3 linked regions of the Arabidopsis thaliana genome follow. The protein of the gene in region 2 interacts with the protein of the main gene of each other region in a pairwise test. Each region holds a gene or a part of one and is shown on either strand. Other genes may lie near its edges. The genes, in order: AT1G19980, AUG2 and AT3G06530.

Region 1 (10,603 bases), on a different chromosome or scaffold from region 2:
TTGGGAATCAGCCGAGGAGATCAAAGGTGAGGAAGCAAGTGTGGGCTGGAGTACTCGGCATCTCATCCGACTCCACCAACAATTAATAGTTTCTTCTTTCTTTCTCTTTTCACCTAAGAAATCATGTGTAGTGAAAAATGGTGGTGGTAATTACTATGCTTGATCATCGTTTCATGTTAACTGTGTCTAAATAACAAGCAAGAAATATATTAGACCACCACCATCGTCATTGTTATGAGATTATATGAAGTATATATATTTTTACCTTCTGTAATCCGAAAACCCCCCTCAAAAAGTGATAGTATTTTATTTTTGGTCTAGAAACAATTAGGGTTTCTCCTTCGAATCGATGTATATAGCAAATATCATTAGCAATATGAATGTTAGTCAAGTAGGTGAGATCGCTTACAAATAATGTTAAAAGTAAAATCTTATGACAAATTGACGCTAAAGTATCGTCTGAAATATAAACATGGTTAAAATTTTCAGAAAAGAATGTGCAATATTATATAAAATGATCAGTTTAAAATAATTCAAAGAAAATAAATATTTATGGTGTGTGATCCATAATAATTGTTCTTATCCATCCTCAACAAATATTTGCATATACGTCCCCAGTTATATTCTCACAGACTATAAACTACATGAATCATCATTTTGAAATCGTACAATATAATCGTTTCTCACGTAAATTACTGCAACATAATACTATCCAACAATCAAGTCCAGTATTCAACTAAATAATTCATGTTCCCCTTATCTATAGGCCTCATGCTTGATGAGATAAAATGATAGGATATGTAGTTTAGTGTCACCATCCGGACTTAAATAGACAGCAACCTCAAATTTGTTATAAATTTATAGACCATTAAATATATTTTGGGTTGTCATTTATATATGAGCAGATCAACAGACTCAGAGGGTCTCTAGCTAATTTCATCACAAATCACAAAACCAGTTATTAATATATGAATCATGAATGTACTATTCTATACACCAAAAACTTGAAACCAATTGAACTGGTCTTATTTTAATATTCGACATAATTAAACAGAATTAGTCTTAATAAACTCAGAGAAATGATAAAGTAATTGAACTTAGTTATGATTATCAGGTGTTGTTTAATCTTAAAGTAGAAGACATAATCATAACTGTCTTAAGTTATTGTACCAACAAGTATAACTTATAATTAGAAACCCCTCATCCTCTACTCATTTCATCAAAAGCATCTGCTCTTGTTTGTAGAAACATACTCAAATTTTAAATCAAACTCTTGTTTTGTTCTCTTGGCAATATTCATTTTTTTTATAAGTTTTTTTATAAGTTTTTTTTTTGCTACGGAATGGTCCTTAATCTTCGTCACTAATTAACTAGCTAGGTCAAACCCAAGTGCACAATGTATCTGAAGCTGCAGGACCACAACTTAGTTTCAACACCATATATAATAATTATACTTACTAGTACTTCGGCTTTTAGTTTTGCCTTAATTACATATATAATCAGCCAATGATTAACCGTTTATTAATTCTCGGCATCATGTTTCGTCACTGTCAACGAAGGTCGGTCTCTTAAAATTAAATTCAGCATTATCCATGCGATAACATAAGCTACTTCTAAATTTTCTACAAATTAAAATAGTAAAAGTTTTCCCTTCTCTTGAATCTTTACAAATTTTTGTTTTAAATCTATATGATTTTTGTCCAGTACTTTCTTGGTTGGTCTACCAAAGTAATCATAATAAATTTATTTAATGTATCCTGAAGATGTTACATGATTAATCCTTACATATATTCATCTATATCCAAGTTTCGTATACACAAAAAAGGTCACTTTGCCGAAGACAAAGGAAGCCCATACAAATGATTTGTTCACATGCAACCTTCACTTATTCTCTCAAGTCTCAACTTGCTTTTTTCATTAACGTTTATATTAATCCTTCAAATATCAATATTTTAATATTTTAAAACCCAATATCAAATATTTATGTAAAGAAAATATAGATTATGAAAAGCTCCTAACAACCCCTTACAATGTGTATAAATAAGTCTATAAATACGAGCATCACAATCAAACAAAACACATGCAAGACAGGCTATAAGAGACTTTATAATATACACCAAACTATGCAAAAACCATTTCAGAGAGCTCATCCTAACACACACTCGCACTCCTTCACCATTCATATAAACGAACCATTTAATCATCATCGTTACTTGGACCATCATCATAATCACAATACCTTCATAGGTTTATCTTCATCAATGAAGCTCTTCTCCAAATTCCGCAAAATTTTCATGAAGATCATCTTCGCGCTTCCTTCTTCCTCCTCCGCAACCGTACGTCCTCACAAAACCGCTGACTTCGGCAATGGTTGTGATAGGCTAGAGACGCCGAAGATATCGTGCAGTAATTCATACTACTCCTCACAATCTCACTACAGTGAAGCTATCTCAGATTGTATAGACTTTTTCAATAAGTCTCAACAAGAAAGTGAAGACCGGATTGCTCATGATCACGACCGTTTTTACGTTTAGTCAAACTTCAAAGAAAAATAATGATCTCATGTCTTTTCTTCTTCTAGATAACTCAAAATTTTCTTCTCTTAAGCTCAAACTCTTATTAATCTGTATTCACAGTCTCTGCATGTTTCCCTGAAAGTAAATCTCGAGTTCAAATAACCAAAATGGACCTCACAATTGTTGTCTTCCATGAATGTTAGAGAACATCGAGACTTATATTTGTTGATCCGTTTCCAACCAATTTTAAAGGAAGCAGGTTGTGTTTAGTTCTTTCCACTATCATTCCAAGAGACCAAGAGTTGTAACTGTAAGCGTTGTGTATCAAATCATATGATCGTGGAGTCAAAACGTCATCACAACTAAAATCTGAATTAACATTAATGCTTCTTTGCTATCAAAAACTTTTAAATCATACGAGTGTCTCAAAATCCCTAATCATTAAACCTCTCCACAAGCTCAAGCACTCCATTTTCGCAGAGCTTTTTACACCACACCAGACGGGAGTCGAAGAACGAGCTGTCCACCCATTAAACTGTTCCCAAAAACAGAACAAATTCTAAATCTTTAGACATTCAAAACATTTCAACAATATCGCGATTATATAATGGGCGTGGACCAAACGTTTTTTACCTCTGAACATAGTAATAGCAGAAATCTGCAAGAATGAAGGTTTGGACTATTTCAGAGATGAGGACCATTACAGGCCACAGTCCAGACCCTAATGCAGTCAGTAACCGCCCTCGCGTATCCAACACCTACAAGCGTTTAAATCATTTTTAGAAACATTACAATATGGAGATATGTGTAGCCTAACAAGGATAAAAACTCCAGAACCTGAAGGATCCAGTGTGCACAACTCAAGAACCTAGCAATTCCCAAAGCAAATACGTAATGTGCAGTGAATGGTTCCACAATCTGCGAAAAAAGACATAACATTCAAGAAAGATTCAGACTCAGCACTGTGGTAGCAAAAAGCTCAAGGCTTTAAAGCGCAGTAGTATCGAGTACCTTAGTGTTCTGCATGACTCTTAATTGAGGAAGAACTGAAACAGCTTCAAGATAAACACAGAATGCCCAAGAAATCCTGTTTATGATGTGGTGACGTGTTGATGGATGAATGAAGAAAGACAGAACAGCACATGGGATTACCTGAAGCAAATCAGAGTAAAGCTCTCAAAACAAACATTACATCGCCATGAAGATTCTCAACAACAATCAATATACAAGTTCCAAAGTTCTTTTTATGATATAAACTAACCAAGTTGAAATTGTGAACTCATACATTATTCTATTACACAAGTTCAACACTCAAAAACACATTTAACATAATCTATCAACAAAGAGTTTGGTAAACTTACGACGAAATAGATAGCAAAATTGTCTTTATCTTCCATATAAGTAGGTCTAAGCTTGAAACGGATCATATAAACGACCCAAAGAGTGGTCACCAAAGTAGCTGAATCAAGAAATGTATGAAGATCAAACTCCATTACAAAGCTACAATACAATCTCACAGCCAGAAACAAAGCCGTTAGCTCCTGTGTCTTGAGAGATATCCCTGTTTTAAATCATCAATTTTCAAAATGTCAAAATCAATGAAACAAATTAGCCCATCACATACTTTGAGAATCAAATCTAATCAAGCCATTCTTAAAACCTAATACCAGCACAAGTCTTCTCCTTTGTGAGCTTATAGATAAGAACAGCGATACCAACGGCATGTACAGCCTCAGAAGCGACGAAAAGATTGTCGTGTTCATGAACAATCACCCTGAGGAGAACAAGCACCGTCATTGCCGTTACCACGCCAAGAAAAGCCTTTACTTTTGGCGGTTGCCGGCGAATCCACGCCATTACGGACTGAATCGGATTCTTCTCCGCCTTCATCGTTCGGACAAGATCTCTTTCTCTCTCTCCCTCGCTCAGATCAAATGTGTGATTAATGAATGATTATCACACAACTTCGTCTTCGTATTGAATTGGGGAATGAATGATCTGTAGAATTCTTAACGCAACCATACAATGGCAATGCCATTACTTTCGCGAGGAAGACACGTGGAAGCTGTTAGGTGAGAGACTGATAGTTTCTTGTTAACTTTGGCTTCGTCTCTTCTTGTCTGATGCATCTATCGTATTTATTACACTAAACCGGTTTGGTTTGAACGAAAGAATTTACAAAACCAGTTTAACTAATTTGGCACGTGTGATCGATCGTGTGGTGAAGAACGAGCCCATTAACGGCCCAATGAAGAGCGCGTGTGGCTTTAAAACTTTATATGCACCGAATCTCTCTTTTTTTTTTCTGGTCTTGCAACTTCTAATTCTTCTAACGGTCTTATATCTCTCTAGAAAATCTCTCTCTCTCTCTCTACAATTTTTTTCTTCTTCTTCTTAAAATTCTTCTGTGAAGTGTGCTTCTTCAATTGGTAATTCGAATTTGGGTTTTTTGAGATGGTTGTGAAATCGGTTTCTGGAGATTCGTCGGAACGGGAAAACTGGGAAACGATTTTCAAGAGTTTGGTCAAGATTTTACAGACGAAACAGGACCAGCTTGAGTCGCTTCTCAAAGACAAGAAGATTCTTGAAAGTGAGATCAAGACTAATAACGAAAATTGGCTCTCTGATGTTCGAAATTACGAGGATCAACTCTCTCTGGTAAAAACCCCCTTTTTGATTCCTTGTTTCAGATAAAGTTAGGTTTTTTAGGGTTTCGCTCTCTCCTAAACAATTTTGAAGTGTAATGCTCTTAATTCCTCTGAAATTTTCAATTGTTTTCAGATGATGAAAGAAATTGAAACGACTAAGATGTTTCAGTTACTGGAGACCTATAAAAGCAATCTCTTGTGTGGCTTAAAGGAGAAAGATCGTTCTCTTTGCAATTTGAAACTAGGTGAGTGGCTTATTTGGTAACAGATTATAATAAAGTTTGTTCCTTTCGTTTTCTACAACATGTGAAGCTTCATGAAACCAATTTGGAAACTGCAGAGCATTCGCTGGATGAGTTAAAAGACTTCAAGGCTTGGTTTGATTTCCTCACTCTGAATACAAATGTAAGTGAAAGTTTCAATTTTTGTAAGCTCTTCTGTGTTTTCTTGTTTTAGGATCTCATACAATGCTTGTTGGTTTTATATAAAATGTGCAGGTGGAGAGTGTAAGTGGCAATTCAGAAGGTACGGCTATTAAGTCATTGGAAGCAAAAATCAGAAAACTGAAACTTGAGTATGAGAAGCTTGCTTCTGAAAAGAAATGTGAGGTATCTGATCTTTTACGAGAAAACGGGTTTGCGTGGAATCAGTTCAAATGTATCGAGAGTGAATTCACTGATAAGTTAAAGAGGAAAGATGATGAGATCGTTCAAGCGAATACGAAAATTTCCAGTCTTATATCTTATCAAGAGCAGCTTCAGTCATCTAATCAAGAGAAGGATGAGACTATCTCAAGGTTAAAGGCTAAGATGGCTGAAATGGAGACCAATTCTACTAAGAAAGATGAGGAAATCTCAAAACTCACAAGGGATCTAGAGTCTGCAAAGAAGTCTCGTGGGTTCACACCGGTTTTAACTCGATGCACCAAACTTGAAAAGCGTAGCAATGGAAATACGGTGGGATCTCATATATCTACTAAGAAAGACAAGTCTGCTGCATCAACAACAAATGAAAAGGTATAGATTTGAATATGCTTGAGGTCTGTGTGTTTTTAAATTCTTAGGAGCCGAGAGAACAGAAGGATTATATACATTGTTTAATTAATTTCGATCATCTTACAGCAGAAACATGTTGATTAACTTTTGAATCTTTTGATCAGGTAAGCAAAAGCTCAAAGAGGAAAAGAGCGAAGAACATGACACCGGTCTCGGTTTCAGAAGTCCCAAAGCTCTTCACTTCGACTTTTAGGCTTCCCAAGTTGAAGTCTCCATCTAATGGAGCCATATAAATTATTAGAGAATTTAGGTTATTGAAATCTGCATGTAACCTATTTGTATTTAGGATCAAGCCCCTGATGTATATCATGCAACTGACCAGTGACCACACCCATTAGCATCTAGTATAACTCTTACATTAGTTTCTTTAGGAAGCTCATATTGCATCTAGCAGCTGTGTTTATTTCCTCTGTATTATTGTGTCTTGAAGCTTAACCAAAGAAGAAAACAGCAATGGCGGAACATCTGCCAATGCAACAAAGATTTCAAGCGGCTTTGAAGAAGATTTTTTTTCCGGTTTTATTTTGTTTATAGCTGAGAATTCCCTCTTGTATGGATTTGATATTTTGAATAAGATCATTTGCTTCTTGGTATTGGTGTTGTATGTCGAATCACTGAGTGTGAAAGTGAGCTTTCTGCTTCGCACCAATTCAAATCCAACTTCGATTCTGTATACAACAAGTATGGCTTATTGCAGAAACGTTTCGTATTTAACCGGTTTCTTCTTTAAACCGCTAAATTTCGGTCCGGTTCAGTGGAATGATTTTGCTTTTGGGTTTAAACGACGCCGTCTCCAAGCCTCCTCTTATTTTTGGATTAGGGCACAATTGACGGAGGAACACAGCGGTTTCTCTTCTCAAATCTCTCACAAAAATTTCATCAAAGGTTTCGACTTTTTTTGATTTGGTAGAAGAAGATGCCACCTTCGGAGGATGTGAAAGCTATGAAGATGAAAGAGGAGGCTGAGGAAGACAATAAGAGCTTGAGTTCCTTTGCGAAGAAGAAACCCACGAACGGTAACAATGCTGGTTCGAAGAAATTGAAGAAAGAAGAGAACGATGACGATGATGATGATAACAAACCTATCAAGTCATCTGTATCTGGGTCTCGAGCTAAGCCAGTGAAGAAGAAGGAAGAGATTGATAAAGACGATGAGAAGAAGCCTGTTTCTAAGAGGAATTCTTCTGTTGGTGTCTCAAAGGTTCGATTTTTATTTCTTTCTCTCTCTGTTTGAGTATAAATATTGAGGATGGTAAAATATTTGATGAGGCATTGTTTTGATTATGAGTCTCTCTCTTTGTTTATAGGAGAATAAGAAACCAGAGAAAGAAGAAGAAGTAAAGAAAAAGAGAGAAAGAAAAGTATATGATTTGCCTGGTCAGAAGAGAGAGCAGCCTGATGAGGTATTTTTTTGCTGCTCTGTTTCTCTGCTTTTTAGATTTGTTGTTGAATTCGTCTGAAGAATTTCTTTTGTTGATTTTGCAATTCTGCAGAGAGATCCACTTAGGATTTTCTACGAGTCACTTTACAAACAAATTCCCACTAGCGACATGGCTCAGATTTGGTAAGCTCTTCTATTCCTTTCTCTGCCTTACATTGTTCTGCAACTTTAAAACACTTACACTTAATGTTTTGTGTTTGGTATGTATCTGATTATTTGTGTTTGATCACTCAATCTGCAAACTGAGTCCTACACCTTAAATTATTCTTTTGGGACTTGATGCATACTTGCGTTTGATTTTCGATGGTCTCTTGTGTTTTGCGACACGGTTTAAGCTAGTTCGCATAAATTTTGAACATCATAATTGGACTCACATTGTATGTAAGAAAGGGGAGTCCTTTCAAACCAGTCACTCAAAGCATTGATTATATGATCTGTGATGGTTATGTGTAATATTTGCTTTTAGATTGCTTTGTTTATTTGAAAACCCTTTTGTGGTTTTGATCACAGGTTGATGGAGTCTGGATTGCTTCCAGCCGAAAAAGCAAAGAAAGTTCTTGAGAAGAAACTGCAAAAGGGTGGAAAATTAAGTTCTCCAGTAAAATCTGCTGCTTCTACTCCAAGAAGCAACTCCAAATCAGTGACCGTGAAGAAGAAGGAAGTACAAAAGTCGCCATCTGAAGCTTTGTCAAACAAAAAGAAGGGAAATGATTCGAAACCAACCACGAAGAAGAGGAAGAAGAACTCTGATGATGACGACTCAGATGATGATTTTTTGGCTAGCAGAGTCTCTAAAAAGGCTAGAGCCAAGTAGGTTGAATTAAAAGACTGAAATCTCATTGTGTTATTTGTAATCGTTTCTTAGGGAGTCAATTTGTAGAATGCTTGAAAGGTGAATTCTTTAAGAGTAATGAGAGAGATGGCCAATTGTTTCTGATCTTATCGTGTACTTCTTTAGTTATTAAGCAAAGACTTAATCACGTTTGGTTTAGAGCATGATAGTTACTCTTCGTCCATGTCACTACTTTGTAACCTCGTCATTCTGACTAGCGAAAAAGCCGTTGAACTGATCTTTGAGGCACTTTTCCTTGGAGCTTTAGTCTTCGATATGACTCTCTGATATGGCAAGGTCTAATAGGTCCTGATTCCTTCCTTTCCCTCATAACAACTCGAGCTGTTTCCACAAGGTCGCCAACAAACATCTTTGCGATACCACGCACAACGATGTTCATAGTGTCGTCCATCTTCGGACCCCCTGTGATTCTCTGTACCAACTTCTCCATGTCTGATTTCTTAAAACCAGATCTTCTGAAAGATTCATATCTGCTCATTTGTTCCTCTGTAAATTGTGATAAAATCTTCTGCATCTTGTTGGCTCTAGTCACAGGATCAGCACCAGTTATGTTTTTGGTGAACTCAACTTCATCTTTGTTCTTCGCTTCAGCAACAACGGACGTTTTACATTTCTTCACAGCTCTCTCATCTCCTTCAAGAGTCTGCTCGGTTTCAACAGGTGATTCCTCTTGCTCCTCCATTGCTGCTTCAAACGGATCCTTCGAATGCTTCATTCTTAATAAAACCTTAACGAAAATCACATATCTTTGGATCTTAAAACTCCAAAATTCAGCCAATTTTTTTGTTGCACATCCGACCACACTAGAAAAAATCCGACATGAACATGAACTCAAAGAAATCAATTTTTTGTACTTGTAATTACAAGTACCTTGGCACTGGCTGATCTTTCAGACAATTGCAGTTACAAGTAACCCGCTCGTTGCTACTAGCAAAACAACAAGACCTTGCGTTAAAGGCCATTTATTGTCAAGCCTATTTTTTAAGAAGCCCAAATGTAAAAGTCGGTGGGAAATGAAGTATCTTTATTTATAGAGGCAAAAGTTTAGCTTCCTTTATACTAATTTACTCGATGTGGGACAATTGAGAGAAGTGTAAAATTTATATACTACACAGTAGCTTGAGAAGCAAGGACGTATTATCTCAAATGGAAAATACAAGACACCCAAAATAAATGGAAACTTCAAACTTTCTTTGAACAAATTACTCAAACAAAAAACACATTTAAACAAATTTCCCATTTTTTCAATGTTTTTCAATCAAATTTAAATAGAGAGATTTCCAAGAGTCGTTTCCTTGTCTTTTAAGTAAAATGTTTGATTTGGTGGATCAAGTCTCATAATCTCCCTCCTCTTCTTCTTCAACATCATACTCACCTTCCTCATCAGCAGTAGCATCTTGGTACTGTTGGTATTCAGCGACCAAATCATTCATATTGCTCTCAGCTTCCGTAAACTCCATTTCGTCCATTCCTTCTCCTGTGTACCAATGCAGAAACGCTTTACGCCTAAACATAGCCGTGAACTGCTCACTCACTCTCCTGAACATTTCTTGAATCGACGTCGAGTTACCCACAAACGTCGCCGCCATTTTGAGCCCCTTTGGTGGGATATCACAAACGCTGGATTTCACGTTGTTTGGGATCCACTCAACGAAGTAAGACGAGTTCTTGTTCTGTATGTTTAGGATTTGCTCGTCGACTTCTTTTGTGCTCATCTGTCCTCTGAAAATAGCAGAGGCTGTGAGGTAACGTCCGTGACGTGGATCAGCTGCACACATCATGTTTTTGGAGTCCCACATTTGTTGAGTCAGCTCAGGAACGGTGAGTGAGATGTATTGTTGCGAGCCACGGGAAGTGAGGGGCGCAAAACCCACCATGAAGAAATGGAGACGAGGGAATGGGATTAGGTTCACCGCGAGTTTCCTGAGGTCAGAGTTTAGTTGTCCGGGGAACCTTAAGGAGCAAGTCACACCGCTCATTGTTGCGGAGATCAAATGGTTCAAGTCTCCAACTACATCATCATGCAATGTATCAGAATTAGTTTTAAATACATTTTGGGTTAATGGAGGATAAGAATTGGGTGTACTTAC
Region 2 (11,289 bases):
TTTGATCCAGAGAACCACTGAGACATGCTTTTCACAGCTTGATCGATACTCTCAAACTCCCACCTTCGCATCAACTTAGCTTCTATAGCAAGAGATGTGTCTGTCTACATAAAGATATAGATCAAGTAAGAAACAAGAATAACACACAATGTCAGACCAAAAAAAAAGTGGACAGTTGCAAGAAGTACCTGTAGCTCATTTAAGTAGTTGATACCCCTCACATTAGCCCATTCAATCTCAAACACGATGAAACCATACAAGGTCTTGTGCAGTTGCTTTTTCAGATACAAAGAGCTCTGCAGTTTCTTTGCAGGTAATTTCTTATTCGAAAAAGTTGTCGCATCTATCAATGAGAACCACTGCTTAAGCTTCTTCATTTTTTTATCGTCCGGCTGGGGCTGAGAACAAGCCTCTTTAGGCTTCTCTTCCTCCTCCTGCTTCGACTTTTTCTTCTCCCTGTCCTGATTCTGATTTTTCTTCTCCCCTCGAAGTTTCGTGTTTGCAAAAGGGGAGAGTCTGGACTGCAAACAAAGATAGATGTGTCACTTTACCATAATTTTTCACCTACACACCACAGAGAAATGTACTTGAAGCAGCTTTTACAACCTTTGTGACCATTAGTTGCCAAAAATGAGCAGATCTGGTGCCAGGATTCAACCATGGCCGGTTATCCACCAATATGTAAATCTTTTTACTTTTATTTCCCAGGAAAATACTGAGATCAGAAAGATATGATTGCAAGTCTCTGTAACCAACCAAAAAAACAAAGGTTAACCAGAAAAGCAGAGAACAATCAAGCAAATAAAGTGTGACAATGTAGTTAACTCTTAAAAAACACACGAAAGTATCATCAGATTAAGATCTCTGCTAAGAAAAAGTAGCCAACACGAGTGAGACTTTAAAATATCACATACGTAGAAGAAAATTTCAAGAAACTGGACAAGAGAATTGCTAGAACAAATATAATTCACTTCAGAGGGAAATGTTTAAGACATTAACACCAAAAACTGATTACTAGTTCAGATTCAGGAGAGGAACATAAGCCTGGAATCAAGATAATGAAAGAAACACAAATAAGTGATAGCTTTAATTGCAGAACTTAGATAATAAATTGTCAAAACCACAAAAACAGATCTTGTTTTGTCTGGAAAGACAACATAGTTTTCCAATTAAAGGCTCAACAAGCTTGTACTTCATTCAAAAACAGGTCACGTAATTAACTGCAGAATCATTGATCCTGTGAATCATAACTTATAAAAAAAAAAAAAAGCGGCAATGCAGATCAAATAGATAGATAAAATTACCCGATCTGGAGACTCGTCAAGGGGAAAACACATTTAGATTCATCAGCAATCCCCATCTAAATCCCAATTTTGCACTCTAATTTCCAATTAACCTCAAAATCACTGAAAAATCGAAAGACGTAATTCCAGATTATTCGTCATTATCATCATACTCCACAACAAATTCTCAACAGAGATTACAAGAGCTTAGCCTTGAGAGAAAGAGGTCATGAAGCTATTGCCGACGAGTTTTATACAAATTAATGGTAGTTAGTTGGTAAAATGACATAAATAAATTTAGGAACAAATTTGTAAAATTGTGTGATTACTTAATAGAAAAGGAAACTCTAAAACCTAAAGAAAAAGGAAATTCAAATCGTATAGAATCGAATCAACACCGCCCGCCGGCGAACAAAAACAGCCGGAGAAATTTGAAATCACACGGCGAGAAATGGATCAGAGAAAAAATTAAAAGCACCATTAATGTAGCAACAATAACAACCACAAATCAAAACCAGAGGTTTAGGTTTATCACCAGAGAATCAATAAATCCGGAATTTGAAATTTGAGAGATAGAGAGAGAGAGAGAATTTGGGTTTACTTGGAATGGAAGAAGAGAAGAATATTTCCAAAGAAGACGTCTCAGGGAAAGAGAAGGGTAAAATGGTAAATTTGAAAGCCGAAGAAGACGGAGGAATGAGATTGCGTAGTTGTGATGGCGCCAGGGTCTCGTCGGTTTTTAATCTTCACCGGAGCACGTTGAAGAGAAGCTCTGCTTATGGATTGGAAGATATATAAACGCGTGGGATAAGGTCCTTCTTTGGCAGGCGCGTGTAGTTTCCTATTTTCTTCAAATTACATAATGGTCCTTTGAGACTTGATGTCTTCTGAAAAGCCGCAAACTAATAATGCATCTTTATTCAATGAGCACTAAAATGGTATTTTCTCGCATCATGAAAAATTGATATTATCTGTAACATATTTGCATGATTGTCAAATATTTTTGAGACTGTTAGATTTAGATTTTGTTGTTTAGATTAGAATATGTTTTGTAGATTCGATTCTTTTGTATAATTTGTCAAATGTCTTACAGAAAATGAACAAGAAATAATGAATTGTAAACAACAAAATAAAAATAAAAATCAAAAATGAAGCAATAAATCAAGAATTTAAGACATGAAAATAGGTGTCGAGAGTGGGAAATGGACGCATGGACAATGAATTGACATTTGACATTAAAGTTATGCTTTGAAAAGTGTATCATCGACATTTAAAGTTGCGAGAAATACGAATATTCATCGCCTGCGTCGGTACATTAATCGCTTGCACATATTTATTCGTTTCATTTAATTGCACGCATCCGAAATTTAATATATACTTGAAATGTGAGAAATTAAATAATCTCAATTTGTGTGTCTGGAAAATGTGTAATAATGAGTATAATCGCTAAACCGAATAAACCAGAGGTTGGTCTGATATTTTGGTTATATGAAAGAGTCAATTTAAAAGGACACGCGTTCGGGCGCGTAAGGATAAGGAGTGGGCCAGGAACAAATCAAAATTTGGACGTATGTGATCGATTCTGTTTCGAATACAAAAACCACGGAAATATATAGATAGAGCTCGTGGGTGGGTCCTTAACGCCGCTTTATTAATTTTAGCTACGTAATTATTGAGTAACCAACGCAAGTGATGTCTCTCAGTTAATCTATATAAACCTATATATGATGCATTATTGCAATTTCACGTTACATGCATTATATCAATACTCTAACAACAAAAGTGTGTTCCATTTTAATATGAATATTGAGATCGATCATCCAGATTCAACTACTTATTTGATTTCATGTAATAATTTTCCATCAGATAACTTTGAATAGTTGAATATAATAGTCTTTCATGTACTGTATATCATTTAGAAATGTTGGCCATGGATTGGCAGTGAACCTATGCAATCTAATCTGATATGAATTTTATATATAAGTGGTATTTTTTTTATTGCAAACACTTTTGTGGTTCGTTTTATAGTTTTAAATAGTGATGAGTTTTACAGTTTAAATATCATGTAAATGATATATGAGGTTTTATTGTCCAATTTACACAAACTACTTTTAAGACCAGACCGGGCTATGTAACTAGGTGGCTAAAATATGATTAGGTGCCACCGGTTCTCAATTAAAGTTGTCTTAAATTCATGGTCTACTCTCTACAGTCTACATACTACAATATTTAGACCATACGAGTTATTTAGTGGAACGATTGTGCCTATGAATGCTAATCCTTTTTTTATAGACCCCTCTTTAGATTTCTCGACTAAAACAATTCCCACATCTATGAAATATTTTAATTTTGCGGTAGTTTTGCCGCGGTCTGCCGCAGCCGCAAGCGGCGAACAAACGAACAGACTAAAATATGATAGTCACATGGACCATGAAAACCAGTGTTAACAAAATATACACTGTTTTAAGTTTCACTCAAAGACTATCAAATAGAAATAAGTAAATCCATAAAGAACACTAATGCTGATGAAACAAAACACGATCGATATTAAAAAGCTCAAGCAAAGACAAAAGCAACTGTTTAAACGCTACTCTTTTTTACAGAAGGAGGCCAAGATAGTCTCCGGTTCCCATTGTTATTACCATCTTCTTCTTCTTCTTCTTCTTCTTCTTCTTCATTTTGATCATTGTTTTGTCTCCTTGTTTTATGAACAGCTAAATCGTCGAAGCTTGACTCTATCCTCCCTTGAGGTGGAGTCACACAATCTGAGTCTCTATGTGTCATTTCGTTACCTCCTGGTGTTGTTGGTAAAGAAACTGCAGAGTTACCAACTCGAAGCTCTTGAAGAGTCGCGAATGATTCTCTCATCGCAGACATGGCCTCAAAGAATCTCGTGCATGACGCTAGTGCCACAGGTATTGGACGCAGCATTTCCTATAATTTTGTTGGGGAAAAAAAGAGTAGAGAGATTGAGATTATAGCATGTAAAACCGAAATCAACAACTGTTATGCAACACATTACGTAAAAGTAGCAATCTCCTTCTCTCTTGATGCAAAGAGTTTAAACACATAGAAATCTAATTCAAGGACCTGATGACACAACTGATCCTTCTGCAATGTATTCTATACAGTTAACGCATGGCGTAGTGTAATACAGTGCTTTCCTCTTACACTATGAACAATGTATTAGATTCCAACTGAAATGAGTAATCCAATGTATGCAACTAAACATGTGGAGTTATGTCTGAAAGTCAAAGATGTAAATGGAAAAAAAATCAAGATGCATGTAAAAGAGAGTAAAATCGTACCCCCCAGACTGAAGGAGGTTCTTTAAAGTTTTGGCTCCACTGAAAATCAGACACGGATGCTGTTAAGGCGCCATAATCACTGGCGGCTTTCATTAGCAACTCTGAGAATTGTTTCTGAAAAACAAAGCAGAACAAAGCCATTAAACATAGCATCTTCGTTTTCCAGTTGTGCAACTTCAGATACTAAATAAGGTCCTCAAAGTTGCAAATAGTATAAAATGGCATGAATCACCTGATATTCTGCTTCAACTGGAATGCAATCTAGCGAATAAGGTTGTTGGAGACGAGCAATGATGCGATCCTGTTATATAAACAGACAAATGATGTAATAAACTTCAACTAGAGGGTCACAAATTGACTAAAAGATAAGGCAGTCTTAAGACGTACTCAGAAGCTAATGTTTCGAAAACATCTTAAGGAATTTTCTCAATTTTCAGAACGATAGTGAATAAGAGGGATATCGCTTAAAGACAGAAAAGAGAGATAAATGAACTCGAAAGATACATAAACCTTAGTCCAGAAAAAAAAGAGAGAGAAGATTTTAGAGGTAAGTAGAAAGGAAAAATGATCCTACCTTGTTTTGTATAACATCTTTCAATATTTGAGTAATCCTTGACAAAGTCTCGATTTTCTTTTGCATTTCACCAACATGAGTCAAATGCGCCACATTTTTATCATCCTGAAATTCGCCAACAAAAGAAGTTATATACAAAGCATCTAACAAAAGTTGTTACATGAGATATACCAATAAGTTATCATAAGGCTTCAGGCAATGCAAATACTATGATCCATATCTTATTTCAATTTGAAAAAGAAACCAAAACCATGAGAAAGATACCTTCCTCCCTTGAAGCTCGACCTGCAAGTCTGCAATTTTCCTTTGAACAACAGATAACTCTCTCAATACCCTTATCAAATCATCACCTCTTTCCCCATTCGAAGACGCAAAGCTTTGTAATTCTTCCTACATCGGAAAATGATTGAGCCAATTGAAGAGATAACTAACCATAAATATTCTCTACTTGATGAAAAATTCAGATTCAGTATATAAAAGCCAAGAGATCAAAGATCTAATCAAAACATATGGTCCAGAGATTCGCAAAACTAACAAGCAGCTAAAATTCCTCATTCCTCAGAAACATAATCTCCTTCAAATTATAGATCTCTCATACGCATTGTTCTGCAAAGTCAATCTAATAGCATACAACCCAAAGCATATGCTATACTCAAGCTAATGGAACTAACCGGAGACGCAATTCCGATTCGGATGAGATTAAAGTGAACAAGAGAAGTTACCTGCGACGGAGGAGGAGCGACGGCGAAACCGAGATCGGAGGCGATAGAGAGAGCATCAGATAATCCACCGATGCGTCTGATCGGCTTCTTCCCAACCCACGTCGTGTCGCCTCCCATCGACATCTTTCGACGAGCTTTCCGGAGATTAATTCGACGGTGGCGGATCCAGATTGTTATATATAAAACCAAATTCAAAAATATTCAAAAACTTTTCGTCATGCCATTAAACTCTTTTCTTTTTTTCCTACTTCAGTAATTTATACTTTACTTTTGTATATGTAAAATTGTAAGTCATCCAACAACTTCACAAAAATACATCTGAAGAAGAACCGAAGACCAAAATGGGCTTAGCCCAGAAATATGCTGAAGATAGCCCAACATGCTATTACGGACGGTCGAGAAATATGGACACTGAGATCTGCTACGTGACGGAACGAAAGCAACCCGACAAAAACCAACCAATGTAATAGAAACTAGTGGTTTGTATTAGTATTGTTGATATGCCATTATGAAAAAATGTTGTTGAATAACGAGAATTTAAATATATTTGTATTTAGAAATTATAACATCAATATATGGTAACCTTGATATGGATAAAAAAAAAAAAAAAAAAATGTTTGGTGTTTTTCAATTAGTCTTTCCCTTTTTCATTTCTTTGTACAATACATAAAGCTTTTTACGAGTTATATATTAAGTTTCTTTTTTATATATATAAAGAAATCATGAGCTGAGCTGTATATAAATTCTTAGCTTATTTCTAAATTAATAAAGCTTGAATCTTTCTTAAGATTGTTTTTAATAAGATTGCTCTGAGAAGCTTCTAGCTTATGGCACGTTTATTAATTGTAAAGTCGAAACAATGTGAGACCGTCGGTGGGAGATTTATGAAATATGGAACGTCTAGAAGCAAAAAAACATATTTTGATCTAATAAAAAGTTCTTCACTTTATACTAAAAGACTCTTTAATATCAAAGATTTGACAGATCTGGTTATTAACATATTTATTAACTAAAAACATTGGGATTTGATTGTTACATTTATTTATTTTATACCTTGCATTTAATATTCTGCATTATTATGGATCGCCAATTTTTTTATTCTGCATGGATTTAAGAGAGAGAGGGAGAGAAAACAAAACCCATGCATAGAAATTTCATCGACCGACTCTTGTCATATGAATCTAAAATAATTATCAAGAAAAATAAACACATCAAATCTGCTTAAATAAACAAGAATTTAAGTTTTCCCAAATGAAATTAAACCATCCTTTCCCAAATGAAAGTTTGAACTCAGCACCAACAACAAGCAAAATTCAATCCTTCTCGTACTCACCAAATAAGCTAGACATATGGGGTTAATAAAGTTTATTCGCAGCTCATTTGGTTCCTTTATGATATTATACTCAAGCTAAGTAATGGGTTCGATTCCCATCTTCTCATTTCTTTATCAAAAAACAAGTAATAAAGTTCCTTAAATATTGTCTTAAAATACTATCGTAGTAACTAGTAAGGTGGAATATATAGTGTAACTTTGGAGCTTGAGGTCGTCGGTGATGTGCTGGTACGAAGAGACACGTGGCGCTCAATCATTTGAAAATAATTTAGTTTTTTTCTTTCTTTTGGAATATGGGAACCACCAACGACAACATTATTAATTCCATAGATTCGGAGTTAATTGAGCGGGTTGCACGAACCACACCACACACCAGATGCCGAATAAAATTTTATGCATAAGCTAAGCGAATAATCAATGCATAGTTAAACTTTATAAGACTGATATTTAACGACTGGATTATCACAACTAAGAGGCGTTTTATTTGTTTTAAACATTTTAATTAAGTTATTAATGGTTTGCGACTCAAGACGATAGGAAACGACCATCTTTTTCTACTCATGAATATTTGAAAGAATATTGTTCTTGCGACAACTGATCAAGCTACTATCTTTGAAAAGAACGTTCTTCTGCCAGTCTACTGAAGAATAACTCAAAAAATGCACTTGGGGCTCACTGATTTTTAACAACATTTCTTTTTATATACATCCTTTGAAAGAAAACTGAATCGTAGCAAAAACTAGACTAGGAAACTGAAAAAAAAAAAAAAAAAAATTAAGAGGAAGACTAGGAAAACTGAAAAAGAAAGCTTTATTAAACCAGCATGCAACACAACTTAATCATATGAATTACTTTGTTTTTTTCCACATTAGTTGCCGTCTGATTAATTTAACACATTTGAAACTATAGTCATCTTTTTGAAGAAAAAGTTCACTAATAAAAACAGAGAAAATCCATTTAAAAAAAAAAGACATTTTAAAAGAATATCGAGTAGGATTTTTAATGTAAACTTTATATAAATTTTATAATATAACATCAAATCGAAACTAATTTTAAAAACTAACTTTATTTTATAAAAGATACAGTATAATGAAAGTGTATAAACGAATTTTGTTGTGGATCAACATGAAAATTAATTAGTTTGTCAACAGCTATTCATATAGTTAAATGATACAAGTAATGATAAACAAATAAACGCATGTTCCCCGTTAACAATTTTTACGTCTCCATGCTTAGTGGCGCTAATCACCTTTTTGGTTCGCTCAAGTCAAATTATTTTGACCAAGTTGTCGGTCGAGCTAGCTCGAAGGTAACAAATAGTTAGGCCCACTTTGAAAATGTCGGTGCTCGGAAAAAAGATAAACCGCTAAATTAAACCGGTCATCATGAAACTCCGGAAACCTGAATTACTGCCAAATTTATGGTTGTAGGCACTGCACACGTGTAGGTGTCTCTTAGTCCCCATTGTCATACCCCTCAGTTTTTATTGGTGGTGGGCAAACTTATATTAAGATGACCCAGGTCCATCTTTCAAACCCATTTAGATCCATCCTATATTTTTGAATGTTTGGTGTTTTTGCTTTAGATATCAATAGAGGTGAATAAATTAGTATTCATACTCTGCAGATTTGAGTTTAACATTTGTGATAGTTTTTGTAAACTTTATAATTTGTAACAGTGAACCCAGCCAAAACCAAAGTTTTGATTTGAGAAATTAGCCTTACTATTCACGATTCTCTCGCCTAACACAGCAGCCTTAACGACAGAAACAGAAACGAATCTCTGCCTAGCAATGACATTCTACGGTTCCGAAAATTTATTAGTATTAATTGGACCGTTTCATGGAAACTTGAAATAATTAAGAGAAACTAATTAAGAGACAAAATCGTCCACTTTAACTGTTACACTATCAACAACTGACACTCTCCTTCTACTTTTCAAAATTACACAAGATCGCTAAATACATTGAAATTATCACCACCTTTTGAAACAAAAATTGAAATCATTAGGAAAAGTATCATAAAACACCCTCTCACACAGTACAAATGTAAAATTTCAACAATTGTAAATAGTATGTAAAATGACTTTACTACATGCACTTTTAATTAATTCGGTCTAGATTTAGCACAGTAAAAGCAATAACTAGCTGCATAAATTACGGCCATTACCACTATATGGAAAAAGCAAAAGTCTCCACATTTTCTCATGTGGAAATATTTTAGATTAAAAACAAAAGTTAACCATAAAAACAAAGTCACGTCATCTCTCTCCTCCACCACTCCACAGAGCTTTCAAATATATCCCTCTCCTGCGAGAGCAGAGAAATAGAGAGAGACTAGTGAGTGAGAGAGTCCATCGCTTTCTTTCTTTCTCTCTCTCGCTCTCTCTTCATCTCCAACAGAGACTTCTTTCTAGAGAAAGAGATCTTCACAAATATGACTGTGATGAATCACCGACACAAGCAATGTCATTTTCTCCTCCTCCTTCTGATCACTGTCTTCTCTGCCGCGTTGGATGGTGTTTCTTCCGAGACAGACGTCGGAGGGTTTGACTACGGTGAAGCATTGTCTAAAAGCTTACTCTACTTTGAAGCTCAGAGATCAGGAAGACTTCCGTACAACCAGCGCGTGACTTGGCGTGATCACTCTGGTCTCACCGATGGTCTTGAACAAGGGGTTTGTTTTCTGTTCAAAACTCTTGTCATTTTATTTTTTAATTAATTTTATTTTTGAATTCAAACTAATTCAGTTTACTATCATTAGTTTGAATTTTAATAAGAGAATTGAAATTTATTGTTTGTATTAATTTATAAATAATACATAAATTTATTGTAGATTTCCATTTAAAGAAATTATTTTCTTTGGTTTGGAATGAGACTTGAAAACCTTTTGTGAATTAAGTATTGAAATTAATTATTTGTTTTATTTTGTGATGTGACTTTAATTTTAAAATTTTGGTAATAAAGGTTGATTTAGTGGGAGGATATCACGACGCCGGAGACCATGTTAAATTTGGACTTCCGATGGCTTTTACGGTGACAATGTTGTCATGGAGTGTAATAGAGTACGGTGACTCACTCGCTTCCACCGGAGAGTTATCTCACGCGCTTGAAGCCATCAAGTGGGGAACAGACTACTTCATCAAGGCACACACAAGCCCAAATGTCTTATGGGCCGAAGTTGGCGACGGTGACACTGACCACTACTGTTGGCAAAGACCGGAGGACATGACGACTTCACGGAGAGCTTTCAAGATCGATGAGAATAATCCGGGATCAGATATCGCTGGAGAAACTGCGGCGGCTATGGCGGCAGCTTCGATCGTTTTCCGTTCAACAAATCCACATTACTCTCACCTTCTCTTGCACCATGCCCAACAAGTACATACATACTCATTTTAAATTTAATTTAATGTTACAGTTGGAACAGACATTTTAATGTTTTTGGGTAGGACATTTAAATAAGTTATGGTTATGGTTTTGGTTGTAGTTGTTTGAGTTTGGAGACAAGTACAGAGGAAAATACGATGAGAGTCTAAAAGTTGTGAAAAGTTATTATGCCTCGGTGAGTGGGTACATGGACGAGCTTTTATGGGGTGCCACTTGGCTTTATCGAGCCACCGACAATGAGCACTATATGAGTTATGTGGTTGACATGGCTCACCAACTAGGTGGCCTTTCTTGGGCCATGTCCGAGTTTAGCTGGGACGTCAAGTTCGCCGGTGTTCAACTCCTAGCTTCCATGGTTAGTACTTACATATTGTTCAATTTTGTGTGTGGTAAAAGTGAAATATTTATAGCACTAACCTCTTAGTAGTCTAATTTAAGATTTAAGTAGAATCTTATAATTGCCTTATGTGAAGTGATTATCAAGTTTAAATATTCTCACGTCGAATTACCAAAAGTAAGGTATTCCCCACCCCACGTTACATATGTACAACAACTATTCAAATATTTTCTCTTTGTATGCAAATGAAATACTTTATAACTAAATATTAGTACTAGCATTTAGAAAAAAGTTTAGTTATGAAGCAGAAACAAAACTAAAGGTCACGTGCTTTTGTTCCTCTA
Region 3 (11,324 bases), on a different chromosome or scaffold from region 2:
ATTTGAGGAAAAATAAAAGTTTCATCTGATTAGTTTTCGTACAAGAAACACAGCTGAGTACCTTTTTTGCAGGCCAACTGGCACTAGAAGGTCATTAGTGGTTGAACTGAGCAACGATGTCAAGTACGATGCGAAAAACTTATTGTCTGACAATATAAGCCTCCTTTGTTGCACGATCATTCCCAAAAGTTCATCAAAAGAACTACCGTAGATTGCAGCACTCCCTAGTTTTGAATTTCAGAATATAAATAAAAAACAAGTTACAAAAAACATGACATCTCATACCAAACTAAGATTACCATTTTTTTTGCTAGATTCGACACGACACCGAAGGTTGAAGAGTGCCTCGATACAATTAATGGCAGCTGCTTTAACGTCCTACAGAGTGAATGTAACGAGATCAAAACGAATACCGAAGAAAAGGAAGATAATGCAAAAAGTTTAACCATAAAAAGAAAGAAAATTTCAAATGTCACCTGATTATCACTTGACATGGGAACCAAAAGTACAGGAAAGCTTGAAAAAACTTGAATCAACCATTCATTATTCCCGCTAGAGCAAAGATACGAAAAACATCTGAGACTTTCAATTTGGACAAGAGGAGGAACATCTGCAAGAAGAAGACTGCAGCATAAGAAAACAGGATACGAAATAAACAGAAACAGTTACCAGATAATAGATTCCACGAGCCTTAACAGCATAAAACAGACGAGAGAATTATCAACTAATAAAAAGTGGGATCAGTAGTTTATAACATCAATTATAAACTAGCAGGAAATATAAATTTCCATGCAAACCTTCTCGTGAGATCAGTCGGGATAGAAACAAAACAGGACAGACTTTGGCTTCTCTCACACGGAAATGAAGGTGTTCCTTGAAGACATGCCGCAACCGAGTTGTTGCAAAAAAGAAAAACAAATCCTCAAGTCCGCTAGATAACCTTTTGTTCAAAACCTAAACAAAGGTGAAGTGACACAAATACAGTTGTGAGCATTGCAATTGGTTGGGTAGAAAAAATTTCAATATAACCAAATATAACGAGATCATGGTTGAGCATCACCCACCGAAGCATCGTGGGCAGGTTCAAGTTTAATGAATGACTCGCCCAACTTCCAAAACAAGCATATCAGAACCTTCGAATTCAGAGCAGTAAAATCAGAGGTATCAAGGAGTTGATATAGGAGTTCTTGGCAGTTGCTTTTCGACAGCTGCAAGTAATACACAAATATATCAACTAACAAGATAATATATGTATCAACCATCAGATGAAAATATTACATCAGCTGGTAGAATTCTATACCTCTTTCAGAGAAACATCAACCTCGACCTCAAGTTCTTCCCACTCAGTCTTCAAAACAGGAAAGCAAAGTTCGAAAAGATCCAAAAGTTGACTAGGGTCTAAATCAAAGGAAAACACAGCCATCAGCATCATATCGTGGTTAAAATCATGTAAGACCAAGTTTTCTACGGTGCTTAGAAATGAAAAAAAAGACTTTAACATCAGCATGTATGTTAACGCAGTACTATGGACAGAAGCTTACCAGATGAAGAATTCATCTTCTGCAGGGAATGCATCAAAATCATATAAAACAGTGTCTTTGACAAGGTGGAATCTCGGCAACTGACAGTAAGCCACTGAATATAATCAGCAGGGTGCATCATAAATGCTTCCACCAGCTTGTTAATGACATCTATGTTCAATGCGGACACACTTTCACGGATCAGTAGTCCCTTCTGATATGAAATAACCATTTATAAAATCTCAGAAACAACGAATAATAGTATACCAAGTATGTGAAGACAAGAAATAGGTTAAAATATTGAAATAGCAATGCGGACTTGGAAGTTTTTTTTACGAAAACAGTATAGTAATGACAAACCTGCAACTTGTTACGATCCTGTTCTGAACATTTGATATTGCTGCATGTTTCCAAAACTTCAGAGAGCTTATAGTTGCACGCTCTCTCAATAAGCTCAATCCTACGCTCATCAGGATCCAAGGAGAGTGCTTCTCCCAAATCGTTAATAATATCCATGCTAATTGAGGATAAGTTTGTAGACATGATATCGGGGAGCTTTTTCTGCAACAATTTTTCTTTTTCAGATGACATGATAATAATATTCAACAACCATTAAAAGATTTGTGATTGCGACTTGGAGTATTGAAGGATAGTAAAATCGTAAACTCATATTTACCATTCCATCATCAGCAGCAAGATTCTTGAAAAGTGGCCAGTTAACATCCTTTCCCAACTTTAGCACAAGTAGATTTAAATTCCACGTCTATTAAAAGACATGATTACAGCAATTAGTAGAAGTAACAAGACTTTCGCCATAGCTGTAGAAAATGAAGAGAACAAGAAAGAACCTTCGGCTGAATTAAGAGAAATGGGAACATTGCAGAGGTAACTTTCTCAGTAGAGTCTGTTTGATTACCGAAGCTTGAGACAGCAATTTTAAGAGACAAAGCAACAACATCAACTGCCAGTTGAACATTATGTGATACTCCTGCAACAAGAATGGATAGTGCGAGGTAAACTAACTGAACATATGAAAATTCCACACTTGAAACAAGTTAAGAAAAGAACAGAGCATCTTTATTCACCTGATACGAGAATGCCAACACATCGTTTCACCACATGAAGCAAAGCATCCAGAAGACCAGAAGAGGTTATTATATTGGGCAACTTATCGAAAGAGAGGGCAGCCTGAACAACAGCCAGATCATCATCCCAAAGCTGACGCAGTATAGCATCCTGAATTGTGACAAGGTTCTGGATGGAGAGGGTAAAAAAGATATTGAAGAACAGTAAGATGACATGAAGTCAAAGTAAAGAAACAAAAAATACTTGGAATGAGTACCCCACACATACCTCTGCTTTAGAGCTATCATCCTTGAGAACACCATTTAGACTAGAAAGCGCGGCACAACGTACAGCAGCCTATTATTTATAAGAAGCCCTCAGTCTTGCGCAAAAAGTAAATAAAAAATTTTATTCACATAACTAAGATTAGAGGTTATAGTACCCTGGGATGGTGGAGCCGGAACCACAATTTTGAATCCACAAACGGGTGAGACATGTCTGAATTCCCATCCAGCATACAAGACAACATCTCTAGCTTTAAATCCTCTTTCTTCGACTGAACTTCAGTAGCCTGCAACAAGAAGTCGATGACTCAGAAGACCATATAACAAACACAAAGGAAAATAACTAAATGAGAGTTGGAGCACAGACCTCTAAAAATTTAGGAACTGCGGCACGTAGTTCAGCAGGATACTTCTTGCTTACAACAACCAGAAATTTCTTGGCCCAGCTTCCTACAACTAAATTGCAACAATATTGGTTATATAAAGAGGAATCTGAAAAAGAATCTTCAAAAATGAACACCCAAAACTCAATGACATAAGTAGTTGACATATCACTAACCAGATGTAGAAGATCTAAAATCACTGTTCTTCTGGTATTGTGTCATACATAAAGAGAAAACCTTGGAGATCAAATGATCAACCAAATTGCTTACGGGAACAGTCTCAATTATTGAAGCTAAAACTTCGCAGCATTTATCATCAGACGAACTGCAACAAGATGACAGTAAATCACACATGAATACTAACAAAATAAATCCATCCGCTTGAAAATGACAAAACAGTGTTTGATATACACCTGTAAAAAAGTAAAGAATCCAGTAGCACTGCCAGGAATCTTTTGATGTTGAACTCTTTGGACAAGCCTAAAAGAACACCAGAAATATCTCTGCACAAAATTGAAGCCATCGTTGAAAAAATACTAGTAATAGTTACAATTAAAAAAAGCTTCAGAAGGAAGACTGTTCATATTCAGATACCTTATTTCGTTAAAAAGATCCAATGCTTTCCTTGGGATCAAGTCCACAGATTGCAGCTGTAGTTGATTCAGAAAATTAATTGTTTAAAACAATCAACACCAACCACTTGTGAGCAGAATCCTCAGTGAGGAATAGAAAATATGTCCACCTCATACTTAGAAGTTTATACATTCGTGATATCGAAAATTAAAATGTAAGAAGTTCATGATGACAGAAAGTTATTGCACCTGAACAAAATTGATCAAGGCCATAAGTGACAATCGAAGCGAATGCGGGTCAGAAGATTCCTTGGCATGTTCACGACCAATGTCGATGATGGACCTCATCAAGCGCTTGATAAGATTAGTATTTAGCACAGCTCTGTTTGCCAACATGCCAACAACCATTAACGCTCCAGCCTAGAACCATATAAAGTTTGTCATAAAAGGCACATCAACTGAATAACAAAATCAATTAGAGAAAAATATTTGGTAAGAAAACCACTAAAAAACCTGTTGATCTAAACATCCTTTCACACCAGATTGAAGACCAGAGTCCACAAATGGCAAAATCGTCTTTACAATATCTCCATCAACAGTTGGAACTGAACCGAGCACCCCAACAACAACTGCGGTGGAGAAGCTAACCACAGGTTTTGAAGGCTGATACTTCTTAGTACGAGATGCCTACAATGTAACCAAGATTTCAGATGTTCAGTTTGATGTAGCCATTCAAAAACCAGTTTATAGGGAAAAAAAATATTAACAGCTACTTACATAGTCACACAAGGCCTCCAAAACTTGTTTATCACGTATACATTGCTGAACGATAACCGATCTAGGAGGTGGAGCACCTGAATTTTTAACACCATCCAGAAATTTCCACTTGGAATTTCTGTAAAGCAAATGAGAACCAGGGTTTACTAATCGATATGATAAATTGTGAGACTTCACTTCGAAATCGAAAGTGAAAGATATATACTCACCCAGTAGAAAGCAGTTGAACAATGCGGACAAAGGCATGTGTGTCATGGTATGGCAAGGCGCATAGAACCACATCTTCCAAGTTGTATATATGAATCCTGAAATATAGAGCAATTAGGACAATTCGATGAACGAACAAAGGCAAATATACATAACCAATAGTGATAAGGAAACACATACTTGTATCGTCGTATGAGATACTCAAGGGTCTCCAAGGAAGCACGAAATTGAAGATAACCAGAGAGTAAACGTAGATACGAACTGATTGATGAATCAATCCGAGCATTTTCTTCTTTACCCAGCAATTCCCTATCAATTTCTTTACTTTTATGACTAAACAAGTCGTTCATGTAATTTTTAAACCTCTCATCTTTGTTTCCAAGTACTTCTAGACCTGAATTAACAAAAATAATTAACGATGAGAATTTAATTTATCATTGAGCTTGTTCATTAGAATTGCATAATAGGAGAAGAGAACATACCTTTGAGCCCGAGCTCGTAAATTGATTCGATATCGAAATCAGCTGCTTCTTTAGGACTGAAGAGAATCGAAGGGCGTGTGAAAGGTCTCTTGGAAGGCTCTGTATCGGCTTGTAACACTGACTTGAGAGCCTGTAACTGTGACACTATTGAAGAACTCATACTCGCTATTGGGATAAGATTATTCTTCAGAGGAAATTCGAAGAATAAGTTTGAGGTAGAGAGAGATAGAGAGATAGAGAGCGGCGTTGAGGGAGAAGAAGAGAAAGAAGAAGAAGAAGCGGGTTTAGGGTTTAACGATCCTTTTATTTTTAATCTGGAAGATATAGTAATATAAAGAAACAAGGAAACCCCTGAGTTATAATGGAATTGCGTTTTAAACCATGACCTATTTTTTTGTTTTTCGAATTTAAACCCCAATAGTTTTACAACTTGATAATAAAGCCCATCTCTAATCTGCCGCTACTATTACAAAACTGTGCGTTTTAATTCCTCAATCGAGAAAGTCTTGAAACAAGTGTAAGAAAGTCAAGATACAATCACTGTTCACATCACATTTGCCAAGATTAACAAACCCATCTATCCAAGAATTTCAGTAAAATGGAAGTGAGAACAGAGAACAAAAAAGAAACTTAACACCTGACCTCTTTCATTAGAAGTTAAATATTATATTATACGCAGACAATTAACGACATCATCAACTTCAAACATATGTTCATAAACAAAAAATGTACTATAAACAAGTCATTTTCCTTATCCTCTTCATTAATAGTTGTAACCGTTAGCCAACTTCTTCTCATCCTTATACACGACTCCATTTTCCGTTTCTCCACACTTGGCAAGGCCTAAGGTCATTGTAAGCAAACTCCAAACTCTCATCAGTCGTTTGGAAGTAGACACCATATCTCGTTTTGTTGTTGTTTATCTTATATACTCGACCAGACCACCATCCTTCATTGTACCAAGCATCCACAAGTTCATACAATTCATATCGATACCCCTTTGGAATCAGTGGAGGAGGAGGAGGTCTTATATCTGAACCTCTTGCTTCTTCCTTCAACAACTCTCTTTCATCGTCTGTTTTTAGTGTTTGATACTCCACTGTGTATCTGTTTTCGCCCAAGTAACTTACGATCTTTGCAGAGAACCATGAGGCTTCGTAACCTGGTTCGTCGCTTCTAACTTCCACCTCCATTCCATTGTTAAACACCTTCTCTGCTCTCTCACAAGATTTCAGCTTCTTCAATGGAGGTTTGTAACATTCTTCCGGCACATCAGTCAATACCTTGGAAGGAATGACCCATTGTCCATTGATCCAATCTTTGTGGGGCCTTAAGTTGAAATTTAAGATTGTCGTTTCTTCACCAGTTGAGATGATAAAAACTGAATACTTATTAGAACCTCCTCCTAGGACTTTGGAAACCCTACTGGTCCACCACCGTTTGTTGAACCAAGCATCAACTATAACCCCTGGTTCATAGCACACAACAGGCGAGAGTTCTGAAGGAGGAACTGGTCTTATGTCCTTGGCTTCTACCACATCTCTCAGAGGGATCGACTCACCATCATCTCTACTAAATTTCAAGTGTTCAACAATGTACTTATCATCACCTAATAAACAAAGTATACGAGCACAATACCAAGAACCCTTGTAAGCTTTTTCTTCACTTCTGACTTCGACAAGAGCTCCCTTCTCATATTGATCTCTTCTCTTGATTTTTATCTTCAGTTTAATTCTTTGGGCTGTCGATTCCGAGAAATTGCTCTGTAAATCAAAAAAGCAGTGTGAGTTTATTATGCCAAATTCCAACAAATCTTCAAATTCAAATTGCTTGACATACAGTATATATAGTATAATTAAGTCTTTTTTCTAAATTTACAATTTTTTTTTTTTTTTTTTTTTTTTTTTTTTTTTGGTTTTACTAAATTTACAATTAATTCGTCAAATCTTTCAATGTATCTTAATCCCTAAAACATTAAATTCACTATTTTTCTACAAACCCTAGATTCAATTCAAACGCAGAGAAATGTTTTACCTGTTGGAGAAGAGAAGGAACCCACCCACCATCTAGCCATTCACGATGAAGCCTCAAATTGAACTGATCAACCTCTATTTCTGGACGATTTTCCCCTTTAAACTCCACAATGTACCTTGAATCTTCAAGTACGGTCGTAACATTGCCTCTAACCCAGCAACCTTCGCTATCTCTGAAGACATCGACCTCATCGTCAGCTTTGAACCGTCTGTTGAGTTCACGCGGTGGAGATGGACGGAGGCGCGTGGGAGTGACGTACTCCTTCATACGTACGGAAACGGAACCTCCAACAGTTAGGGATTCATGCTCCACCCAAACGAGTTTCTTTCTCACCGAAGGCGCGCTAACAACACTCGCCGGAAAATATGCCGTCGCGCCAGAAACTAGTCGTTCCACCTCAACGCGGTCACCGCCGCGCCAAAATCGATCGCTCGTCATCAGTAAACAATTTGTGCAACCCAACGAGAAAATAGGGATAGGAGTAAGACTGAAGATGATGAAATTTCCAGAGACCTTGATTCAACAGAAGAAAATCAGAGAAGAGTGAGAGCTATTATATATAGAGAAAGAGACAGTGGCGACACAAGCATGCTTATATTATGAGTCGGTCAAGATAGGTCAATGCCGAAAAAAGGAAAACACCAAAACAGCACCTCGTTTCTAATTTATGTAATACAACGTCCTGTTGTTTTTCTTTATCCTTCAGATCACAACGCGAGGTGTTTTTTGTGTTTTGTTCACGTGTCAAAATAAGAGCCGTTGATCTGGGACTACCGTGGATCTCAAGTCTAGTAAATCACTCATGGACATTAAAATGGGCCTAGCCTACCTCATCCTAAAATTTTGCTCCAGAGAAGTCGTGTAGTTTTTCCACCTTTCCTTTTTATACAAATAGCTGAATGCTTGCCGTTTCCAAGTTCCAACCAGGGTAAGGTATCAAGCTGAACAAAAACCGGACATTGGGTCGGTTAAACTTACTATTAATTGGTCCAACCAAATGTCGTTGGTTAAAGTCCCGAGGCGTATGTAAAAAACAAAGCACCTCATCCGAACATCATGCCGTTTTGCCTTTATTTAAACATTAACAACAAAACGGTGAATCGTCTCTAATGGCGCCAAAGGCCCAAAGGTTTGGCAAATCATACAGGGAAATGAGTTTGTACACTCGGATTTCTTCTACCTCTTTCTCTAGTCAAAGGGTGAGGCTAAAGCAGGATGTAGAACAAGCCCAGCATCATCGGTGTGCTTGATCTTAACTTTTCTTATCCTCTTTTTCATGATAAGCGGCCATATGAGAAGGGTTCGAGCCACGCGACTCAACGGGTCTTGAAGACCATCCATTTGGTAGTGACCAAACCGCCAGTCGCGGTCAACAAACGGTCTCCATTGAGGCTTGTCGAGACCATCTTTTAAACAAACAAAACAAAGCCTTGGAAGTAAGATTATATAAAGTAAAAGTTGGAAAAACAAAAAAAAAATACGCAAGGTTGGAAGTTGTAAACCAACCTGCGTACATAAGATTATGATTATCAACGCCTCGGTAGAATGGCCGTAGTTTTCCTGCTTTGGCAGCTTTTTGGAGTTCGTTCCATGCAAGAGACCGATCTTTCCGAGTGACTTTTCCACTTTTAACTATCTGGAAAGAGCAAGGAAAACACAAAAGCCATATGAGACGAACAGCGATCTGGTGATCTCAACTCTCAAGCGTAGTAAAAACCACAAGGGGTTATAATAAACCTTGGAAAAGAGATGGTATGATTGCCGAAGAGTTCGGGCAAGATCATGGGATCGGTCAACCGCAACAAGTCCAAATTTTGGACCATATCCATCAGCCCATTCCCAATTGTCCGAAATAGTCCAGAATATGTAACCGAGCACAGGAACACCCTGTTGTGAAAGCCACAAACACAAGTGAGAGATATGCCAATACGTAGGGTTGTTATGGCGACCCAAAGCCAGCCCAGCCCTGCAACGGATGACCTTTTTGAGTCTAAGCCCGTCACATGCTGGATGAGCCAGGTACCCGCCATTTTGCCTTAATGGGTCCAGGATGGCCCGTGGACTAAAATCATGGCTGGATTTTGAGGTCTAGATGAGGTTTTAACAGACCAGGCTCATCACAACAATGCTACCAAATTTCAATAGTTAAGCTGGAAATAACGTTTTGCATGATTCAGAGAGTTTCAGGGACAAAGACCTTTAGCATTGCAGCATATAAGGCAAGGAGATGCTCGATCAGGTAAGGTCGTCGAATCACATCTGTTTCATCAGACACGCCATTTTCTGTGACGATAAAAGGAACTTTCAGGTGTTTGTATCTCTCGTGGAACATCAACAACACGCGGTAGAGACCATCAGGATATACCCCTCTTCCCGATTCACTGTATTCATCAGTCTCTACAAGCTTTAGTCCAGCACCACACACTGCTTCCTGATTTCTCGAGTCAGATTCCAACATACTTATTCGAGAGAAAGCAATATTATTAATCAAAATTTGAGACCTAATAGCAATTTTTACTTGTAGCTCTCTTACCTGTCCGTAGTAGTTGATGCCTATGAAATCCAACTTCTCACAAATGCTATCGATATATGGAAATATAGTGAGGGAATTACTAATGGTAACAGCCCCGATATCAAAGAGCCCATATGGTCGCATAAAGGAGACGTGGTGCGCAACCCCTACCAAAGGTTTTTTCAAAGAACTGCAAAATAAGAGTTGGAAACTATTAAGATGTGCTAGTGAGAGAAATTCATAGGATTTTTTTTTAAGAAAAAGGAGAAAAACTAACATTTTCCCATGGATGTAGTCATAGGCCTTTGAGTGAGCAACAGCCATCCAGTGTAAGGCTCGATGGAATACACCCATTGGTAGAGTAGATGTAGCTATCTCCAGAAAATCAGGGTTGTTACCGGGCCAAGATCCACACATGTAGGTAAGCATGGTGAAGATATGGGGTTCATTAAATGTTACCCAAGAGTCTACCAAATCATACATGGAATCCACAACAATCCTGGCATGTTATAGAAAGATGATTAAGACCTACAGAATGTCCATAAATAGCTCATTTGATGAGACAGTCACCTGGTAAAGTCCATAAAGTAGTCGACTGTCTTCTCCATTTTCCAGCCACCATAGTCAGCTGCCCATGGTGGCAATGAATGATGAAACAGCGTTAGCATCACCTTCATTCCATTTGAACGAACTTTTTTAAGTATCCATTTATAGTGTTCGACAGCCTCATAGTTAACCTACAAAGCATAACAATAGAAATACAAAGTTTTAGCAAAAAATGGCAAAACAAAAGAAAATGCATTGACACATATAGTATATGTAAAACATAACGTGTCATAATATTTTCTTGACTCACTGCTTCCTTAATTCCTTTGGTGGGCTCAACTGGCATGATCCTAGACCAATCGACTCCCATCCTAAAGACAGTAACGCCAGTATCTTTGGCTAGCTTCACTTCTTTGTCAGGATCTGACCAAAATTTAAGCCTGTCCTCCCTGAAACAAATTGAACTTTGAGCTGTCGACACTAATGTTTACTATACATGCATCAACAATCTTGGTGAAACTGATGTTAGAAATCTCACGCGTGAGGAGCGTTATGCCACGCGGCAACATTTTTAGAGGGTGGCTTATCAGCTGCATTCTTATCTTCTTTGCCATGAGTGTTCTTGGCCAAGCCTTTGGTTATAGCTCCCACAGCAAGCTTAACCTTCTTCCTCCTAGCTTTCTTATCAGCAGCCTCTGCTTCTTCTGCTGAACATGGTGTTTCTTTAGCAAACTGGAGCCAAGCATCATCTAAATCATCCTCCGCATGAGCAGGTGCAGTAGCTAACCCAAAGAAGAATTTTCCTTCCTCGTGTTCTGAAACAAACATGTTAAAATCAATTCCTTCACAAATAATTTAAATTCTACATTAACTGAATCAAACGCAGAGGATATTGTTTTAGATTGGTCTGAGTCCAAAATAATGCAGAAAAGGGAGAAATCG

The links.
Region 1: the proteins of AUG2 (region 2) and AT1G19980 interact in a two-hybrid assay, tested with the Arabidopsis thaliana proteins (one large-scale study listed by BioGRID).
Region 3: the proteins of AUG2 (region 2) and AT3G06530 interact in a two-hybrid assay, tested with the Arabidopsis thaliana proteins (one large-scale study listed by BioGRID).

Annotation. Positions count from the first base shown.
Region 1 is NC_003070.9:6,928,192-6,938,794, forward strand, and holds AT1G19980 (cytomatrix protein-like protein), read left to right. Parts: upstream 1-4,823; 5' UTR 4,824-4,970; coding exon 4,971-5,174; intron 5,175-5,297; coding exon 5,298-5,409; intron 5,410-5,504; coding exon 5,505-5,569; intron 5,570-5,661; coding exon 5,662-6,180; intron 6,181-6,323; coding exon 6,324-6,452; 3' UTR 6,453-6,862; downstream 6,863-10,603. Other genes in the region: AT1G19960 (transcription factor), read left to right, coding at 1-86; AT1G19970 (ER lumen protein retaining receptor family protein), read right to left, coding at 3,003-3,051, 3,150-3,274, 3,354-3,434, 3,528-3,668, 3,878-4,077, 4,184-4,406; AT1G19990 (nucleolin), read left to right, coding at 7,136-7,420, 7,527-7,622, 7,713-7,783, 8,171-8,474; TAF11b (TBP-associated factor 11B), read right to left, coding at 8,707-9,229, 9,384-9,475; TUB5 (tubulin beta-5 chain), read right to left, coding at 9,842-10,524.
Region 2 is NC_003071.7:13,993,706-14,004,994, forward strand, and holds AUG2 (HAUS augmin-like complex subunit), read right to left. Parts: upstream 6,245-11,289; 5' UTR 6,011-6,244; coding exon 5,888-6,010; intron 5,556-5,887; coding exon 5,430-5,555; intron 5,271-5,429; coding exon 5,166-5,270; intron 4,893-5,165; coding exon 4,824-4,892; intron 4,706-4,823; coding exon 4,592-4,705; intron 4,218-4,591; coding exon 3,864-4,217; 3' UTR 3,620-3,863; downstream 1-3,619. Other genes in the region: AT2G32970 (G1/S-specific cyclin-E protein), read right to left, coding at 1-104, 189-521, 607-745, 1,305-1,360; GH9B8 (glycosyl hydrolase 9B8), read left to right, coding at 9,656-9,895, 10,186-10,599, 10,709-10,963. UniProt on the Arabidopsis thaliana protein: Contributes to the assembly of the acentrosomal spindle and phragmoplast microtubule arrays as part of the augmin complex.
Region 3 is NC_003074.8:2,016,722-2,028,045, reverse strand, and holds the start of AT3G06530 (ARM repeat superfamily protein), read right to left. Parts: upstream 5,587-11,324; 5' UTR 5,451-5,586; coding exon 5,291-5,450; intron 5,203-5,290; coding exon 4,989-5,202; intron 4,907-4,988; coding exon 4,811-4,906; intron 4,720-4,810; coding exon 4,602-4,719; intron 4,512-4,601; coding exon 4,338-4,511; intron 4,245-4,337; coding exon 4,074-4,244; intron 3,903-4,073; coding exon 3,847-3,902; intron 3,756-3,846; coding exon 3,666-3,755; intron 3,578-3,665; coding exon 3,429-3,577; intron 3,326-3,428; coding exon 3,237-3,325; intron 3,157-3,236; coding exon 3,028-3,156; intron 2,943-3,027; coding exon 2,874-2,942; intron 2,775-2,873; coding exon 2,606-2,774; intron 2,509-2,605; coding exon 2,369-2,508; intron 2,284-2,368; coding exon 2,197-2,283; intron 2,082-2,196; coding exon 1,881-2,081; intron 1,735-1,880; coding exon 1,542-1,734; coding exon of another isoform or gene 1,525-1,541; intron 1,399-1,524; coding exon 1,301-1,398; intron 1,209-1,300; coding exon 1,065-1,208; and 9 more. Other genes in the region: AT3G06520 (agenet domain-containing protein), read right to left, coding at 6,091-7,053, 7,325-7,762; SFR2 (Glycosyl hydrolase superfamily protein), read right to left, coding at 8,513-8,730, 8,831-8,960, 9,062-9,211, 9,522-10,026, 10,114-10,335, 10,407-10,573, 10,693-10,831, 10,921-11,197. UniProt on the Arabidopsis thaliana protein: Involved in nucleolar processing of pre-18S ribosomal RNA. Involved in ribosome biosynthesis.